Linked DNA regions of Lonchura striata. The protein of the gene in region 1 purifies or fractionates together with the protein of each later gene. This does not show direct contact. Links are inferred from orthologs where the notes say so. Each region holds a gene or a part of one and is shown in the gene's direction. Other genes may lie near its edges. The genes, in order: AAR2 and TTC27.

Region 1 (9,914 bases):
TGGTGTACAGAGAAACAGAGCCCTCTCCAGAGGAAAGGGACAAGAAACCTCAGGTAGGTGGAGAAGCTGCCAGGAGTGATGTACACCTGCTGGTAATGGGGGTGTAATAGGTCACGATCTCTGGTCCCCACCAGCCACAGATACTGGCATGGTGGCTCTGGGCACTGCCACCTGGTTGTGGTCAGGAAGCCACTACCATGTCACTGAAAGCAATGCTGTGGATGTCACCCTGCTGTCCTGCTCAGCACGGGGCTCAGAGGCATTTGATGTAAAAAGGAAAAGACCTGGAAAGGACCTGCTCGTCCCCCTGGAGTGGGAAGGGGTTTGAGGGGACCTCAGGTTTGTGGATAGGCTGAGGCATTTGTCTACAGGTTATGCAAAGCCAAAGTATCAGACCAATGCTGGCAAAAATGATAACTTCTTTACAGAAACTCTACAGATTTTCAGTCCCCTCAGATCCTCAGGCTGGGTTTTTATACACAGCAGCACACAAGGTTTGCACCTCCCTGCAGACACCGCAAAGCTATCAGAGTCCCAGACACTTCTCTAGGACTTGGGGAGTCCTGCACCACCCTAAACCCCCTATTTGACCCCATTCCCCCCTGTCAGCCAGGAGATGCGGCTCCTCTGGGTTGGCACAGCCACCAGACCCTGTGTGGGAGCAGTGGGGACAGAGGTGGAGAGGAGAGGGAACAGTTTGGGGGCTCTGGCAGCAGCCAGGGTGCAGGTGCATTTGGAGAGGCTCCTCAGAACTGGGACTTTCCATTTCTTTATCATATGAAGGTTCTGATGGGCAGCTTTTAAGCCTGGAAAAGCGACCAGTAATGCAGCTGGGAAGGTCATGAGAGGCTGGTGGAGCTGCCTCATCCTGTCCCACAGTACAAACAAGTCCAGACATTCCTGCATCCCATAGGATCCACCCAGTTTTAGTGGAATGGCTTAAAGTGAGGGAGCAGCAGCTCCCCTCATGTCCTTCATGCACCAACACCACCCCAGTGCCTGAATTCCTGCCAATAACCAGAGCTCCTGCTAACTAAATGTAAACTGTGGCCCCAAGTGTTTGCAAAGTTTCTATCCAGTGCCTTCATCCAAAGAGGAGCCTCCATGGACTGGCACTCCATGACTTGGTCCTTTCTATCTGCCTTGCACAGGAATCCTGACCAACATGTTCCTGGAAGCCAACATCTATATTCAAACCTGGAGAACAGGGGAGAAGGAGCCTTCATGCTGGATTTGTCAGCAAGACATAGACATCCTGGCTGCAATGTTCATGGCAAGAGACAAAAATTTTTAAAAAAGGAATAGCAAATATATTATATATATATATACATACATACATATATATATATAAAAACAGGAAACAAAATGCATCCTTGCACTGCTGCTATATGCTGGAAACAAATAGCAAACAACACCACCAACAAACAAAGGCAACCCTCTGCAGATAAATTGAAGAATTTCGTGGATTGGTGATCAAATCAGATTTAAAAAGTCGTAATAATAACCATAATCTTGGTAACAATACAATAAGCCACCATCTTGCATGTTACATGAAAGGACACACAATCATGAGTTCATTTGTTGCACACTGAATGGAAAGGAAAACTGCTTTGCAACAAAGCAAGTAAGCAAACTGAAGTTAAAAACCACAAGCAGAAGCAAAACCATTCCCCACCTCTGGAAAGAAGAGAGAAAAACATTGAAGTTATGACCTTAGAGTTATTTTCCAATTCACAAGTGTCATTTCGCCCTTCTCCTCATTCCATGCTGGTTTTTTGCATTTTTGGGGGGGTTCTGTTAACTTTTCCCCTTCCCTTCCTTATCTTCTCTGTGCACTTGTCCAACCTCTTGTTCTCTGAAGGTATTTAGGAATTGGTTTCATTTCAAACAAAAGCAAATGATATGTACATGGTTTCTCATCTCTAACGAGCAGCCTGTGGGGTTTCATATGGATGTGCATTTCAGTTCTGTATATTATTCTATATAACGGAGGGGGAGGGAGGGAACAATGCTGAAATAATTCAACAGTGATGGTACAGACGGTGCCAACATTTTGAAATTGTTAACTCATGGATTGACTGTGGTTGGGGTACTTGGAGACCCAGATCACACATGGGACTCTGAGTCCCACAAGAAGGAATGGGAAAGGTTTTGGCTGCTGCTGGCTGGGGGGAGGGGAGGGGGCAAAGGACAGGAATGTCCTGCCGGTGGTCTGCAGTGTGTGGTGGCGAGGTTTGGAGGGGCACGGAAGGCTCCAGCTCCAGCCGTAGGCACGATGGGCTCCCAGCCCCCGAGCCAGAGCTGCCCCCAGGGTCAGCGGGGAGCGAGACGGGAGCCGCAGGGCTCGGGGCTCCCTGCAGGAGCCCTGCGGTAGTGGGGTGGCTTTGCTTTGCTTCTGGTTCCCAGTAGGGCAGGTTCTTGAGTTTTTTTGTAGGGTCAAAGGCAGAGGGGCTGTTTGTGCCCTGCCTCCCCCACTACCAGGGGTGTGATGGCAGAGGGCTGGGGACAGCGCTGGCAGGGCCGTGGCAGTGCTCCCCTGTCTGCCTGGGGATGGGCAGGGCAGGGAGCGTGCTGTGTCCATCCCTGCAGAGTGTCCCCAGCGTTCCAGGCTGGATGGGAGAGCCCAGGAGGCGTCAGTGGGGCTGCTCCCAGCTCGGCCTTCAGCCACAGGCTCCCTCCAGGGCTGCCTTTGGAAGGGGATCGTGGGCCAAGCCCAGGGCCCCATACACTGTGAACCAGGCAGTTCAGGTAGGCTCCCAACCAAAACCAGAAAGGAAAGGAAAGAAATGGGTTTCCTTCTTGGAATTGTTTCTAGCTCCTGCAGAAACCGAAGGAGCCATGATTCTGCACCATTTTGCCTTTAGTCTCCCACCCCTCACACAGGCTGTGCCCAGGACCAGGTGTGTTCTGCCAGGCCTTGCCAGGGCTCACAGGATGCCCGAGCAGGAGCTCCTGAGCCATGAGGATGCCGTGGGCAGACCCTGCTCCCACCTGCGCTGTCCCAGGAGGGAGCTGCTCCCTGGCAGCTGCTCACCAGTGAGTCTGTTCTCCTGGCAGAGAGGCTTCTCCTGCAAGGCATGGAAGGCAAGAGCACAGGGGCTGCTGCCAGTGCCCATCCCCAGCTGCCAGCCACGTGTCTCCAGAGAGCACAGCCCCAGCCTAGCAGCACTTAGGGCAGTTGCAAAGAGGCTCCTTTTCTCTCGTTTGTTTTCCCAATGCAGCCCAGCCAGCTGTGCCCAGCAGAGGCACTGCCAGAAGTGGCAGAGGGCCGGGGTCTGCCCCGTGCTGGCGTTCACCAGTACATGTCACAATTCAGGGCCAGGGGAGCCCACCTGGCTGGGGCCCCTCGCCAGCCCACCCGAGGCCGCTGTGACCCTGCAGAGTTGCTTCTGGTGTTGTGCCCAGCGTGGGAAGCCAAGGCTCCCATGGGATTGAGTAGACTGAGGCTCCCTGTGCACTTGGGCTGAGGGAGTTCTGTTTGCAGTGAGCAGCCCCTGGCTCCCACAGCGTGTTCATCAGTGGCACTGTCCAAACCTTTTTTTTTTTTTTTTTTCTTAAAAGAAAATAATAAAAGCAAAGAAAAAAAGCTCACTGCTTGTTCTCCTGGTGACTTGCAGCTTTCTGCTGCTCAGCCCCAGCCTGCCCATCACCACTCTCTGTTCTGGATAGCTGGTCACTGCTTTTTTTCTTCCAGGGGCCATTTCTGTGGAAAGGGGTGGAAGACATGAGTGCCTGTTTTTACCCAATCCCACAAATTCATTCTGAACCTGGCCTGCAATTGCATGAGTAATAACAGTAACAATAATAATAATAATAATAATAATAATATTTATTTTTATTTGAGAAGCACCTTACCAACCAACTGCAACGCTCTGTTGTTCCTTCACTAACTCTCCTTTTCTCTTCCCTTGTTCTCCCTCACCCCCTTTGGTCATACTCCTTTTCAGTGCTCAGTGGTGTATGCGTGTGTGCTCACTGTTCTTGTATTCAATAAAAGTGAAATAAATGTGTTTGATGCTAAATCAGCCTGGGGCCTCGGTTAACTCTTTCCTGTTGAGAGGATGGAGACGTGAAGAGGGAACCTTGCAACAGGGAGCACTGCACATGGAAATACCAGGCTTTGTCTAAAGAGAAGATTGTAGAAATCACAGAATCCCAGAATGGTTTGGGCTGGAAGGGAATATAAAGCTCATCGTGTTCTATCCCCTGCCACAGACAGGGTCACCTTTGACTAGACCAGGGTGCTCCAAACCCAATCCAGGCTAGCCTTCAACAATTCCAGGGATCCAGGGGCAGCCACATCTGCTCTGGCCGACCTGTACCAAGGCCTCCACACCCTCACAGGGAAGAATTCCCTCCCAATATCCCATCTAACCCTGCCCTCTGGCAGTGGGAAGTCATTCCCTATGTCCTGGCATTCCAGGCCCTTGTCCCAGGTCCTTCTCCAGCTCTCCTGGAGGCCCTTTAGGCCCTGCAAGGGGCTCTGAGCTCTCCCTGGAGCCTTTAATTTTCCAGCTGAGCACCCCTGGCTCTCCCAGCCTGCCTCCAGAGCAGAGGGCTCCAGCCCATTTGAGCATCTCCATGGCCACCTCCGGACTCATTCCAACATCTCTGCGCCCCTCCAGCGTGAGCTGGACGCAGTTCTGCAGGTGGGCTCTCAGCACACCAAGGGCAGATGATGTTGCCAGGTCGGGAATTGCGGCTGGTGGAGCCGGGAGCGGCTTCGTGTGGCAGGTGCTGAGCCTCGGGCTTGTGAGAATGCTCGGGGTGCGGGAGGCAGAGGGAGCTGCCCATCCCTGGGGACCCCGGCCCTGTCTTGTCCTGGAAGGGAGGACGTGGTGCTGGGACGGTGTCTGTGTCACAGTGAGGGTCTCAGTGTCTGTCCCGGGGGCCTCTCGCTCCATCAGTCCCAGGCACGGCTCTTGTCCGTCTGTCCCGCTGCGGGGCTGGGAGCACGGGGGGCCCAGGGGAATGGCAGGCAGCTGGAGGGACTGGCGACCGGTTTGGGGGACAGCGGGTCAGCGGGGGCAGCCGCCAGCCACGGAGAGGCAGAAGGGAGCAGCGGCGGGCCGGGGGCTGAGGCTGGCCGGCGGGGACAGGGACGGAGCGGCACCGATCGGGAGCAGTTCCCGCAGGCGGGCCGGGGCCGGGGCCGGGGCCGGGGGGCCGGGGCCGGGGGGCCGGGGCCGGGGGGCCGGGGCCGGGGCCGGGGGGCCGGGGCCGGGGCCGGGGCCGGGGGGCCGGGGCCGGGGCCGGGGCCGGGGCCGGGGCCGGCGGGCCGGGGCCGGGGGGCCGGGGCCGGGGCCGGCGGGCCGGGGCCGGGGCCGGGGCCGGGGCCGGGGCCGGGGCCGGGGCCGGGGCCGGGGGGCCGGGGCCGGGGCCGGGGGGCCGGGGCCGGGGCCGGGGGGCCGGGGCCGGGGCCGGGGGGCCGGGGCCGGGGGGCCGGGGCCGGGGCCGGGGCCGGGGCCGGGGCCGGGCGGCGCGGAGGCTCCTCCCGCGCCGGGCCCGGATGTCCGGGCAGCGCCGCCGCTCTCGGTGCGGCCCGGCATGGCGGCTCTGCGGCCGGACCCCGAGCTGGCCCGGCAGCTCTTCTTCGAGGGCGCGGCCGTGGTGGTGCTGGACGTGCCCGAGGGCACCGAGTTCGGCATCGACTACAGCGCGTGGGCCGTGGGGCCGCGGTTCCGCGGCGTGAAGATGGTGCCGCCGGGGCTGCACTTCGTGCACTGCAGCGCGGCCGGCGCCGGCGGGCGGGACGCGGGGCCGCGCTCCGGCCGCTTCCTCAGCCTGCGGCGCCGCGAGGTGCGGGTGCTGCGCTGGGACCCCGCGGGCGAGGCCGTGCGGCCCGAGCCGCCCGAGCAGGGCGAGGCGCTGCGGGACAGCCTGCGGGAGCTGGACCCCTTCCTGGGGCCCTACCCCTACGAGACGCTGAAGAAGTGGGTGTCGCTGAGCAGCTTCATCAGCGAGGCGGCGGCCGAGGAGCTGCAGCCCGAGAGCGGCCAGATCTGCGCCTTCGCCGAGGTGCTGCCCGAGGCGGCGGGGCGGCACACGCGGGACCGCGCCGGGCAGCGCCGGCCGCCGCTGGGCGCCCAGTGCCGCAGCTACGCCGAGGGGCTGGCCCGCCTGCCCCGCATGCGGCCGCGGGCCGGCACCCAGATCCGCTTCTCCGAGCTGCCCCGGCAGGCCTTCCCCGACGGAGCCACCCCCGAGGAGATCACCCGGCACAGCATGGACCTGAGCTACGCCCTGCAGCGGGTGATGGAGCAGCGCTACCCCGGCCGGCCGCTGGGCCTGCTCGGTGAGCGCCCGGGAAATGGCATTCCTGTGCTCCAGGTGGGACCTCTGCCGGTTCCCTGGCGCGCCGAGGGCTCTGCGGCGCAGGACAGAAGTTTGGGCAGTTTCTGGCATTGCCTGCAGGAGACTGAGGCCGGAGCTGCAGCTCCTCCCGAGGGGCAGCTGCCATCTCTCTTCTGTGTGACCAGGGAGAGCACCCGAGGGCCTTCAGGGGAAGTTTAGCTTGGATATTAGGAAAAGGTTCTCCCCCCAGAGGTGCTGGCACTGCCCAGGCTCCCCAGGGGATGGGCACGGCCCCAAGAGCTCCAGGAGCATTGGGGCAGCGCTGCCAGGGGTGCCCAGGACGGGGTTGTCGGGGGGTCTGGGCAGGGACGGGGGCTGGGCTGGGTGATTCTTGTGGGTCCCTCCGGACTCAGGATATTCTGTAATTCTGTTCTATGGCTCTGGTGTGGGAACGTGGTGCTGCAGCCCTGATTGCCCCGATGAAGTCAAAAGCAGCCGTCACAAGTGGCCCTGGCACCTTAGCTGTTCAGGGAACATCGTGAGGACATCTCTTACGGAGTCCTGAGAGCACCGAGTGGGGATGGGCACCCCCGGCCCCTTCTTCCTGCTAGGTTGGGCAGGAGCTGTGGGCCTGGTGGTTCCTACTGCAGGGCCCGGCCCCTCCTGGCCGTGCTCCGTGTGCTGCTGGTGGCAGTGACAGTGACAGTGGCAGTGTCCAGGCTGTGCCAGCCCTGCTGTGGGGGCACCACACCTCCCGGAGCTCAGCTGTTCTCCAGCCTGCTTTGCAGCCTGTGATACAAATAAATGCTGGGTTTGTGGAGGTCCTAGAGCAGGGTTTTGTTTTGTTGCAGGATGGAGGGAGAAGCCCTCCCAGGTTTGGAATAAGCCTTCGTTTGTCCCTTCTTCCATTTTTTTTGTACATTAACATTATACAATTTATTCTTCTTCAAAATTACCAAAGACAACTGTAGGATGTAGAGAGAACAAATTGCCTTAGGGAATGGTGGGAAAACAGCTGATACCAAGCATCCAGTGTGATGAACCCTGGCTCTTAATTCAGCAAGACAAACACACTCGTTGAGGCACTGCTGATCTCTCCCAGAATTCCAGGACAGTGCTGTTTGCAGTCCCATGTTGTGCTGGACACTCAGCACTGGCAGGCTGGACACTCAAAGTATAATAGCAGGGTCTGCCTTGATGTTTGGGGCTGTTTGGTGTTGTTTGCTGTCTGTAGAGTCCTTCTCCAGTGCTGATAATCACAGTTACAGGTGACCTGCCCCGTTCTGCTTTGTTTTGCTCCAGCTGAAGAGCAGTACAGGGTCAGTGTTTGAGTATGCACTTGAGGAATGCACTTTGCAAAAGCCAAACCAGAGTTTAGAAACCATTTGCAGAGCTTTGTGTATGACACATTCACAGGATATCTGTTTAGTCTTACATGTTTTGTTTTGTTTCCCTTCTCTGAACCCACACAGCTGAGTTGCAGTTTGCCTTCATTTGCTTCCTGATTGGGAATGTGTACGATGCCTTTGAGCACTGGAAGAGGCTCCTGAACATCCTGTGCCGCTCAGAGGAGGCCATAGGGAAGTACCAAGACCTTTACATCAACCTCATTTCCGTGCTCTATCACCAGCTCAACGAGATCCCAGCAGATTTTTTTGTGGACATTGTCTCCCAGGACAACTTCTTAACCAGCACCTTACAGGTGTGTTTGTGGCTGTTCCCTGGGAAGTTGAGTGGGAGGGAAGGCAGTGTCAAATTTGGGGTGAAACTGCCAAAGGAATTAAGCTGCATGGGAGACAGGAACCTGTCTGAGCACACAGGGGTTATTTTGACTTTTTCCCTCTGTTATTCAGTAAGAAATTCAGCTCAACAGCTACAAGAGAGGCTGGGCAAGTGCAGTGTGGTGTCTGTTTGTTTAATTTTTCCAGAATGCCTTTCATTCTTGAAAAGAAAAAACAACAACAAACCTTTGGCATGAAGGACTGATGATGCTGATTTTTGGAATGGTGTGCTCAGTGTGCAGGGAAGCTGCAGCAAAGCCTTAGTGAGCTAAGGGCAGTGATAGTGTTTAAGCAGCTTTTCCATTCCTTAGCACAGCTGAGGATTTCCTGTAGTCAGGTTCTTCTCCAGAGGGAATTTATGGTTATTCCAAAATGCAAAAGATGCTGCTTCTGCTGAGACAGGTGGGGCAGATGTGTAGCTCAGCCCCAGTGAAAGCAGTTGCTCCACTACTGGTGACAGTGCTGGCAGTGCAGCAAACTGGCTTAGTTTACATAAAAAGCCCATATCAGACACCCTGATAAAGCTGAGCAATGGGAACCAGCCCAGCAGGAGGCTCTGCTGTGGGTGCAGTTCCATCCCTGTCCTTGTTGACCCAAGTACTTGCTGTACTTTTGGGGAAGGTGAAGGTTTTTGGGCTTAATTGCTGGGTAAAATGTTTTGGGAAGCATTGCCTTAATCAAGTGGCTTTCAGATTTTTCAGTTGTGATTCTTACAAGTCTCGGGAGGGTTTTAATTTACATTTTATATTTGGTAGGTTTTTTCCATCCCACTACAGGACTGGACAGTCCAGGTGTGTTTGCAGCACGCTCAGAGCAGTGCTGTCAGTTCACAGCAGTACCCAGAATACTCTCCAACCAGCCATTCTCTCCCCTTGAGGGGAATTTGGGAATCCCTTATTGCTGCTTCTGGCTTCCTGAGTCTTGTTTATGCCTGGGCTCCCTCAGTCTGTATTTCAGTCCCTCAGCAGGAGCCGGTGTCAGAATCTCCCTGAAGCCCTGGCAGGAGTCACCACATTCCCAGTGACAAAGAAAAGCCTTGCAGACTGAGCCCTTCCTCACCAAGTTCTCCACTGCTCTGCTCCTGTGGGATTTCCTGAAGTGGAGCCAGGGAAGCTCTGGGCTTTGCCTTATCCCCACCTCACACACAGACATCAGAACTCTGCCTCAGCTGCTCAGAGCTGTGGGGAGGGCATTATCTGTGCAGTTCCTGCTCAGCTCTGGAAGCAACTTCATTTTTGGAGTTTGATCCAAGGCAAGAAGAGCACAGTGCAGTCACCAGTGACTCTGCAGCCCTACCAGTGGTTAAAGAAAAAATACCAAGTTGGTGAAATAAATAATTGAATGTGCAATTCATTGAGAAGAAGTGGGAAGTATAATCTAATAATTTTTTCCCTACCAGCAGTATTGCTGTGTAAGAGTTTTGTTAGAAAGAGGCAGTTTTCCAGTAGAATGAGCAAGAAAAAGGCAAATGTTCATCCATAAAGCAGCAAACTCTGCTGCTCATTGTCAGTGTTTTATCCAGCTTCCAGTAAATAAGAGGCTGAGTTTTCCCCAGAGGAGATTTCTTTTTATGGAAATTAGTTCTGGATCACAGGTTCAGGAGGAGCAGAACCAGGCTGGGCTGGGCTCTGGGGCTCAGTGCCCTGTTGATCACACAGATGATTTCCCCCCAAGGTGCCAGCAGAGGCTGTGAATTTATGACATGTTAATAGTTTTGTGTTTGGGGATAGAAGGCAGAGGTTCTTCTAGACTTCAGCCCCCTGTGCACAAGGAAATGGCTGTGCTGGGGATAACCAAGCTTTTTCCAGAGAGCTCCCATTTGTTTCTGACATTCAAGGT
Region 2 (10,274 bases), on another chromosome or scaffold:
AACTCCAAAGAAAAATTTGAATAAAAACCTAAAGCTTCAATTTTCTGGGCAAGAAAAATCAAGACATGGCTTCACTGAGTTAAAAAAGAAAAATAGGTCTGGACAAGAAGATCTAAGAGCACTATCAAGACACAGGTAACAGCAGAGACGCAAAATATATTCCCTGGAAGTTCTAAGAAAGGATGTTTTTATTTGGGAGGGCATTTGATTATGCCTCCTTGGCCTGATCTCTCCTCAACTTGTGAGTGCTTACCAATTTTCAGAAGCAAATCCTGTAGGACTTTTGCCAGACATTAAGTCATATGCTCTTAGCCCAGTGTGTTGACAAGAATTTGGCAGTAATACTAACATTCACCTGAAAAGTCTGTGTGAAAAATGCAGTGAGCAACAATTCTAGTGACTTTGTGGAAGGACAGATCACTGCTACGTCACTAAGGTTAGAGAATGATAAGCACTGGGGGTAGTGGAGGGGCGGTTTGAGATCATCACAATTTTTGGAAAAAGGATGTATTGAGTTCCCTGCCCTCAGCATAAATTTGGAGATCTGCCCTGAAAACACAATGCCTCATCTACATCCAGAGAGATTAGAAGAACATACAGTGAAGGATCTCCTCCATGTGTGCCATTCCTGGGTCACTTAATCTAGGACTGATGTATAGTGGCAAAACCCACAGAGTAAATACCATTTCATCCCAGGCTGGATAGTTCTGAGCTGAGTGGAACTGAATACAAAGAATTTGTAGCACTGGCTGATCATTTTACTTTACAAAGGCCTTTCTTTTGGTGTCTGCACACAAGATTGTTTTATAAGGATTACCATCTTTATTCTAAAGGGTTTAGATGTTACATCTATAAAACAGCAAAAATCAGCATTCCGCCTGTATTATCCTCTTGTGTGTTGGCAATGGAAGGAATTCAGTTACACCAAAGTCCCTAGAAACTGGAGGTAGGGTTTTATATTCCTTTTCCATTTGGAGGAGTGAATAACTGCTTCTAATAGATCAATAAATGACTTACTGCACCTGCAAAACAGTGCCTGTCTTCTTGAAGAAGGGAAGCTCTACTGTAGATGTCTGTTAGGACAGAAACTTCATTGGGCAGAGAAAACAAAAATGTGCCAACTAAAATTGCTACAAGGGAGAAACAGCAGTTCTTTCCCAGCAGGGATGTCAGTACACAACAAGAATGAGTCACTGTGATGCAGTTCTGTGATTCAGACAATTCAAATCCACTCTGGGATGTCAGAACACCAACATATTTTTGCTGTGTGTGAATCCATATAAAGATGAAAAGTATTCTCCAGCTCTTGATAAATTCCTACATCTCTAACAACTGTCTCAAAATATTTTAAAATATTCTTTTCTAAATTTGTTACAGCAAAGCTGGATTTCGACAAATTTGCTCCTTAGTAAAACATCTGTATTTGTTTCATATCATTCTTTATCAGGAAACCTAGAGGCGCTATATAGTGAAAAAGAGCCTTAGACAATTCAGACAAATATCCTAAAATTAGGAGTAGATAAGTACCAAAACCCAGAACTGTTTTGTTGTTAGTAAATTTTTTTTTAATTCATAAAGCTAAACAAGAAGAGCTCTTCCTCTGAGATAAAATATAAGTCTAGAGCACTTACTTTTCTCTCAGGTGAACAGGTTGAGAACAGTATGAATGTTTTACTTATCCTGCTGTTCAAAGTATGATCACAACAACCTGCAGCTTCTTTGTGGCAGAACAAAATTAACCTGTAGACATGGGATAATCCCTTACTATTTCCTAATCTATTTTTACTAATAATTGCTGCAGTCAGTCTTTGAACAGAATGGATGTATAAATAGATCAGCAGAGTTCAGGCAATCAGTAAGTATAAAAAGTCCTTTCTCATCATAAGCATTTCTAGTCATAACTCTACCAGAATGTTCCTAAATCTACAACATCAGACAGAGGAAAGAATTTCCCACAGCCACAAAAGTAAGGCATAATTTTGCTGCTGAGAACAGTTGGAAAACCTATAGGAACTTATTTTCATCCTACTAGCCACAAGAAACCTGGAAGACGACTGGAATATGATACCACTCACTGTACCATAGGATCTGAAAGATTGTACAGAAGTTCCCAGTTAAAGCCAAAGCCTGATTTTTTGATACCAAGAGTTTTGCTTGTGGAAAGTAAGAGATTGTGAATGACACAGGTTTCCTAATGTTTGTGGAGTCTAATGATTAACAGCAGCAAGATGAATGAAAAATCACTTGAGTGCTGGTTTTACACAGAAAATTTTTTAGAAGAATCCTTTGGACATCTTCAAGGACTGTAAAAGAATTGATTGATTTTGATTTCTTCAACTCTCTGGAAGCCTGCTCGGAACACGTCAGTTTCTCCTTTGGGCAGTCAGGGAAGTAAAGAGGGAAGCAGAAGCAGTCATGAAGGACAGGGGAATGAGTCATCCTAATCCACTGTAATGATCTCATCAATCCTTCACCATGTCAAGTTATAAATATATAGTAAATATTGACAAGCGTGTTGAGGCAGGTTTTGAAAGAGAACATTTATCTTATTGTTGTTCTTGCCAGGACAGATAATCCTCAAAGAAGCTAGTAGTTTCAAAGATTTAGGGAGAAACTCATTATGGAGAATATGAGAAATCATTGCAGTGCAGATTTTTGGTTGCTGAAGGACATTGAGATCTACTGGTGTTTTCAGCGTGAATACTTTCTCTCCATCTATTTCCCTCCACTATAATCTAGATATTTATCTTACTAGAACCTTTTTCTTTGCAACTTCTAACATTTGCAGTCAGTTTTGCCTGCCTCAAACTTTGGAGAACCAATAGCATCCACAGTGATGTCCCATATTGTCCAAAATAACATTTGAAATTACCATAAAACATCAACTTCCCATAAATATTGCACAAATTCAAATTAAATTCACTAGAACAGTTGGATTTCTATCTTTCCCAGACACTTCCAAAATTTGAGGCCTCCTGCCTTAACATTTGGTTCTTTTAAGTTCTATTCTCCTGTGATTATAATTCTATCACACTGCAAAGCTATGCTGAATTTTGTTTTACACAAATTTAAACTGAGATGGCAAAAAGCTCTTCTCTGACATACAGGCCACAACACTCCCAATCACTAAATACCTCCTCATCCAAAATACACATTTCGGAGAAGAGTAGAAAATACAGGAGTAAAGAGATTAAAATTATCATATGTAGTTTAAATAAAATATTCTGTTTCCTGTGTGATGTAGTGTGACTGGAACCAATTTTGTTTGGCTTTCTTTCTCCAGCCTATCAAAGAGAATCCAATTAATGAGAGCCATTCAATATTTTTTATATCTAATTTTAAATCCTTCTCTCTTTTTGAAGCTAGCAAAGGGAGAAAATATTGCTGTATTAAAAAAAATAAAAAAATAATAAAATAATGCTTCTGTATGAACTCATATAAGGCATTAACTACTTTGCAAATGTCTACTTGGACAGATATGACATGCTTATTTAATGAAAGAGCAATTTCTGAATTCTTTTGTTGAACAGTAAATTTAATTATTTCTATGTAAGCTTTGGTTTCTTCATCTGAAAACTCACAGATGTTACGTAGTTGAAACAGAGCAAATTTCTTCTAACTAACTAAGTAACAATTAATTCTTAAAAGATCAGATTAGATATGTTCTGAACAGAGCAACATTTGCAAAATGGTCAGCAAATTCTTATTCATGGACATCAGGAATGACAACAGATTTTCTGTTAAATGGCTACATTTTAGAAAAACTAATCTATTACAAGTGGGAAGACTGCACCTCAAATATTAAAGCTGTATTTTACAGACAGAGTATTTATTGGAGACCTACTTCCTCTTTTTCTACTCATCTCCTCATCCTGGATACCATACAAAAAGAGATACAGTAATATTAATACATAGTATATTCCAAATGATTAATGAAATTATTGTCAGCTTCTAGAAGAGTTGCCACAATGCCAGAGAAGAGCTGTCCAGGGTTATTTGCAACTGGCCATGTTCTTCATTTTACATTTCCAAAGAATGGTTTGAATCTCTCTTCCTGTGGTGCAGTGGCCTACACTAACTGTTAGTACTTCATAAAGTTGTGAAGAAGAGAAGAATTCCCTAGCCTCTATTATTTTAGCACATTTGAAATGTAGCTTTTTTACCTCCACTTCAGTGATTTTGTTCTTTGGGGTTCAGTGAAGCAAGAGTGTAAGTTGGCCAAGTGCTCAGAGAGACTCGAGGGATGCAGAGCTGCTTGGTGAGTGCACTGAAGCAACCTCAGTGCACGCCAAGCATCATGTCCCTGCCTGTGTAACTAAGGTATTGTAACCTTAAATATGATGAATCACAGAGACCAACTGGTTAGTGTGATGTAACTTGACTGAACTGACAGAGACAAGGCAAGAAAAACTGATACAATTCCCAAATATGAGCCTTGCATCTCCCTTACTCTCTCACCAGGTGCATCAAATGTGCTCCAGAATTGCAGAAGTTTGGTTGCGCAGTCATGCAAATTTTCATCCTGGTATACCAATGAGCTAGTTTTTCTTTGACAATTCCTCCCCTTTCCCCACTCCTCAAACAACAAATCTATTCCTGCTCAAAAATAGCACACAACACAATTGCTTCTCTCCCCAGCAGTACCAGAGACCTGGCACCCAGAATTCAGGATCAGTTTAAAAACCATGTAACAGCAGCTTTTACAAACAGCAGCTCACTGTGTCACTTAAAATGTCATAATAAAAAAATCTATGCTAATATTAATTGTTTGAAGCTTAATTTTTTCTTTTCTTTACAGTAAGCAGTGTTTTTTTTGTAGTCCGTAAGGAGATTGTCTGTTTCAAAAGGCTTTAGGAAAAAAACCTGCAGAAGATAAATACTGCATCAACACAGCAGCACAGGTATCTTGTAAGGTGATATTAAATGCACTAATTCAGATACCACAGTAGCACATTTCATATGGATAATTTTCTCACACTCTCAGAAAAAAAATTAAAGATTAAGGTTATTCTCTGAAAACTGTTGTGTCAGAAACTTTTATAATGTACTTCCTGCTTAGAAACAATAAGCAGCACTATGCTAAAATTTTGAATCTGCACTACACAGCACTGCAAAGACTTTCTTCCCCTTGAGCCATCTGGCAGAAGCTGTCCTTAGATGCAAAGAAAGCATGTTGATTGTTCTTTGAGAAATAAATGTATACTCTTCAAATAGTTTAGGGAAACAAACTTAAGCAGCAGATTTCAGTAAGTCTGTGGCAACTAACAAACACCCCAAACCATCTTTTACATCAGCAGTAACAATCTGCCCAGTACCAGGGAGGAGTGCACTAATTCCTGCCAGAGGTACTCCTGCCCACATACCTGCTGCAGCTTCCAGATATTTCTAGATGCTCCCAGACCTGAACTGTAGGGGTGAAACTCCACACGCTGGGGTAACTGGCAGAGGTGAGGAAGACAGCAAAACATGCCTTCTTTTTACTGAGGAATTATACTTAGCAACTATTTATTCACAGAAAATGTTACTTTACTGGTTTTCCCTGAAAATAAAAAGCACAAAATCTCATAATAGGAATTTTAATAATATCAAGCTTGTGTTTGGACAGGTGCTGAAATCAACATTGGGATAAACCAAAGCACGATCCTGATCTGCCTGCCCTGAGCGCTGGGCACCTCAGCCTGCACCTGCCCAGGATCACAGAGGATTCTCCACAGAGGATGTATAGATATGTATAGATATCTGAAGGGAGGTGTGGGTCTCAGATTCAGTCAAAGAGAGAAGCGGAGAGTTTCTAGCCAGGCAGAAGCCTGGGAAAGAGCTGGGGAAGAATGTAAATAATTCTTTATCTCTCTTGTTATTCACATTGTTTATAGTTAAATTCTATCACTATGTGTCAAGCACTCTGCACCAATGGTGTAGGTTGTTTTCACTTCAGAACCAATGGATTTGGTCCTTGCGGAGCTCTGTATAAAAGAGTGGTGCATTTGAATAAACCAGAGTTTTACTCTCAGCAGCCTTCTGAGTCAGTCTTCTCATTCCCGTCCTGCCTCGACAGTGACAGGGAGGGTGTCAAGAGGATGGAGCCAAGCTCTGCTCAGTGGGGTCAAGCAATGGGACAGGAGACAATGGGCAGAAACACAGGAAGTTCCAGCTCAATGTAAGGAAGAACTTCTTTACTCTGGGTCTGATTGAGCACTGGAACAAATTCCCCAGAAAAGCTGTGGAGTCTCCCCCACTGGAGGTATTCCAGAACCATCTGGATGTATTCCTGTGCCATGTGCTCTGGGATGACCCTGCTGGAGCAGGGAGGCTGGACAACAGAGTTTGGACCAGCTGACCCACCGCGTTCCCTTCCAACCTGGCCCCTCTGGCGATTCTCCCCAGGGCACCGCCCAGGCAGTGCTCGCGCCCCGCCCCGCCCCGCTCCCTCACGGTCTGTTCCCGGGTCAGCGCCGCCCTCAGCGGTGGGCTGGGGCCCGCGCGCCCTCCCGGCGTGCCCCGCGCCGCTGTCATGGCGGCTCCCTGCGGCCGCTGGCCGCGCATGGGCTGAGGGCTGTTGCGGGCGGCACGCGAGCCTCTGTGGGAGCGAGCGCGGCGGTGGCGGGCCCGGGCGGCGGGGCTATGCTGGCCCTGGAGCACGCCCTGCTCAGGGGCTTCCTCAGCGCCGCCCAGTCCCTGGAGTGGAAGCAGGGCGAAGTTACGGCCGCAGGTGAGGGGAGCTCCCGGCCCGGCGCGGGGAAGGTGTCCGCTTCTTGTGCGTGTCCGGAGCCACCGGACTGGACCGGGGCCGCGGCTGGCGGCTCCCTGCTCCCGCGGGTGTTTTCACCTCCGGCGCCCTGTCAGATCCTCGCCGAGCTCCCGGGGCCTCCTGCCCGCGCGGGCTGCTCAGGCTGGAGGAGCGGGAGCGGCGCTGCCGGCAGGGCTGAGGCGGCCGCAGCGGCGGGGCCCCCGCAGGGTTCCCTCGGCCGCTGTCGGTGCCGGTATGGCGGACGCCGCGCCGGCCGCCTGATCTTGCACTCGGGAAGCCTTTAAGCACGGGGCTCCCTCCGGCTGCCTCTCGAGTGAAAGGCTGCCTGCCTGCTGGAACTTGGCAGTGGGGCGGAACGCGCTAAAACGTGGGAAGGAAGAGTCTGGCACGAGCTGCCTTTTCTATATTTATCAGTTACTCGGTCACTGTTGCTTGAGGGATAAATGGAAAAGTCTCTTGAGGGCACTTGGTTAGACCCAGTTTTCTTGCAGGGGAGCTCAGCAGCTCTTAAAATGTAACTTTTGTCATGTAAAGGTACTTCCATGTTTCAAGCAGACTAGTTTTTGACATGTTTCAAGTCATGTGCCGTATTGTATGTAGTATATTGAAAATCTCATTTATCCCTACCTAACTTACAGATTTTTGGAAAAGAGCCATACAGAGCTAACCAGGTCTTATTTCGGTATGTGACTTTTCGTTTGGCCTTAATCATTGTACTGTCCAGGAATGGCAGCTGATGTGACTGATATCTGTCACATCTGTCTTTTCAGCAAGGGTTGGGCATGATCTTTACCACATAGAGTTTTTCTGATTGCTTTTTTTTTTGCCATATTGTTTGTTAGCTTTGGTTTGTTTTGAGGTGCTTTCAGTAGTGTGCTGCTATAAAATGTGGGGAAAACTTGAAGAAAGGCATTTTGCAATAGAAATAGAAAATAGTGGGTTTTGTGATGATTCTTAGTCATCATTTACATGGGCCCTTCCTATTGATGATCCTGAATATAAATTTAAAAGCTGTGACCTTGAATTTATATAGTGTCCTATAAAAAGCTACACACATAATCAAAAACAGATTTTATGTGCTTACAGTTATGTTACTGGAAAGAGAAGAACCTCAATATTCCTCATTCATCATCACATGTCCTCACAGCCCATAGTTATTCTACAAACTACAGCAGTCCCTGTCTGGCAACTATAACCCAATACAAAGAAGTTGTCATTTGGTGAGAGAAAGTCTCTCCAAAGAATAGATTGGAAAAGTCTCTTGTTATTTCTATTCTCTGTGAGGGTGTGATGTCAACAGCTCTGCTGAACCACTGGTGTACTTTTATATATGTCCTTCTAGGTATAGCTTAAAGTGTTTTTTAAATAATGCACAGCACATGTTATCTCTTATACCATTCAATAGCTCATTGTGGAGAACAGAAGTAAACTTTGGTCAACAGCGTGGTGCAGAGATTTTAGAATGAATGAGTCTCTGTCACCCATTCCTACAGAGTCATCCATTGCTGGTATTGAAGGTGGTTCTGCTGTCTGTGTTCCTGTATGTCTAAAATTTAAATACTTGTTTAGCTGGATGACTTTGGGGTTGGTATTCATATCAGTTCTTTGCACAGCTGCTGCTTGTGTGGATCCACAGTGGTGACAGTGTTAAATTGATTACCTTGGCTGCTGATTTTAGTGCAGCTACTGAGTGCAGGGAGCTGCAATCCCCAGCTGGAATCACAGATTGATAGTGAGGCGCTTAGCTTGTGTAGACCTCTGCATTACCTCAGCTGCACCATCACCAACACCTGTATCATCTGGTCAGAAACCAGTTAGTGTGTTTGCATGAGTTGTAGCCACAGCTGCAGGATAGGGAGATAATGGTTTTGCTCAAGAACAGCAGGTTTTAACATGGCCAGATTTTTCCAACAACTGCTGTATTGATTGCACAGTAGCATATCTGAAGATAGCTTCTGTGAATATAGTTGTAACCTGCATCAAGAACTTGATGGGTCTGAAGCTTCTTAGAAATATATAGCATTTCTTGGCTTCACTTCGTCTTGAAATCAGGCTTAAGAAATAGTCATGGGTCTAAATCCACCTTAGTAATTACCCTTAAGAATTTGCTCCATGTGCAAGCTTTTCATTGAGGTAGTAGAGTTAAAATAGGAAGTAATTCTTTTGTAAAGATAAAATCTCATTGCCCATTGTGTGTGGGTATTCTAAGCATGTAAATGAAGGACTGAGCAGTTTCTGAAGTTGTATATAACACTGAATTCTGCAAATATTGAATCATTTTTTGTTACATTTCCCCTAAGTAGATTCTCTGGTCTGTGAAATTACTGTCTTATCTATAGGACTTTACTGTTCATTTAAAATGTTTTGAAGGAAGAACATCCTGCTGTTATAACTGAAGTGTTTTAAAAGGCCATCCATTTATTTTTCCTGAAATTTCAGTGCAAGTTTTTGTTTTACATTCATCTGGTCGATTGTGTTTCACTGTAACTTTAATACAAATTATTTTGAATTAAGTGACACCTGCTAGTGATGCTCTTGTGTTTCAGTGCAACTGCACTTTCACTGCAGTGTAAATGAAAATATATTCTTTAGAAGGGGAGTGGTATATATTTTCACCTGAATAGGTTTAATAGGTCTTGAAAGACAAAATTGTTTGGAAGTTGACACTGATTTCAGTCTTGTTTTCTTTTTCTCTTCCAGAAAGTGGATCATTGTTGCAATTGATGCTTGATGGGAAATATGAGGCAATATTTTCACATTCAGCCATTCAGAATGTTTTCAGTGCATCTTCTGTGACAGAGGAGAACATGGACACTTACTTGGAGAAACAGATTCTAGCATACCTGGATTGTTCTGCAGAGGTTGATAGCGTGGAAAGGTGGAAATTGTTATTTGTTATATGCAAGTTTAATAGAGGCTATGTTTGGTTTTTACAAAAGGCATTTAAAAAATGTAGAATTTTTATAGGGCCTTCAAAATCTTTGTACTGATAGGAAAGCAGAAAACAAATTTCTTGTGTTATTTCCCTTGCTCCCTTGTGCATCTCTTTGTTACTGTCCAGTGAAAGAAACAATGATGTTGTGATACAGGGGTTTGTTGAAGACATTAGCTTTACCTCAGAAAGCTCTGGTATAAAGTCACACATGTAAATTCATTTGGCCATATATCATCAAACAATTAGCAATTTTCTCTCTGAAATGTTGTATTACATTTATGTGGCTGCTTGAAGTACTGTGTAATGTTACTGTCCAAGCAATGGCTGTATTTCTAAGTCTAACCTATAATGAGGTTGTTCTGCTCTTCTAATGTAAAAAGGCGTACAGTGTTACTCATGGGTGCTGTTCATCAATTAATTATTTTCTTCCCAAGACCTCCTCTGATAGAGTCTCTCTTAATTGTACTGTATGTGCTGATTGTTGCTGTTAAGGAGTATGAATTTACTGTTGACAGTTTGCTGTGTTAAATTATGAACAGGCTGAAATCTGACATGCTAGGCATAGTAGAAGCAGAAAGCTATGTGAGTTTT

The links.
Region 2: the proteins of AAR2 (region 1) and TTC27 purify together in Homo sapiens (affinity purification with mass spectrometry; 3 studies listed by BioGRID and IntAct, with this or other methods). This does not show direct contact. The link is inferred for Lonchura striata from reciprocal best matches to the Homo sapiens genes AAR2 and TTC27.

Annotation. Positions count from the first base shown.
Region 1 is NC_134619.1:13,897,988-13,907,901, forward strand, and holds the start of AAR2 (protein AAR2 homolog), read left to right. Parts: upstream 1-5,527; 5' UTR 5,528-5,547; coding exon 5,548-6,295; intron 6,296-7,766; coding exon 7,767-7,996; intron 7,997-9,914. Other genes in the region: EPB41L1 (band 4.1-like protein 1), read left to right, coding at 1-53, 1,152-1,160. UniProt on the Homo sapiens protein: Component of the U5 snRNP complex that is required for spliceosome assembly and for pre-mRNA splicing.
Region 2 is NC_134605.1:35,401,187-35,411,460, forward strand, and holds the start of TTC27 (tetratricopeptide repeat protein 27), read left to right. Parts: upstream 1-6,477; 5' UTR 6,478-6,621; coding exon 6,622-6,709; intron 6,710-9,448; coding exon 9,449-9,626; intron 9,627-10,274.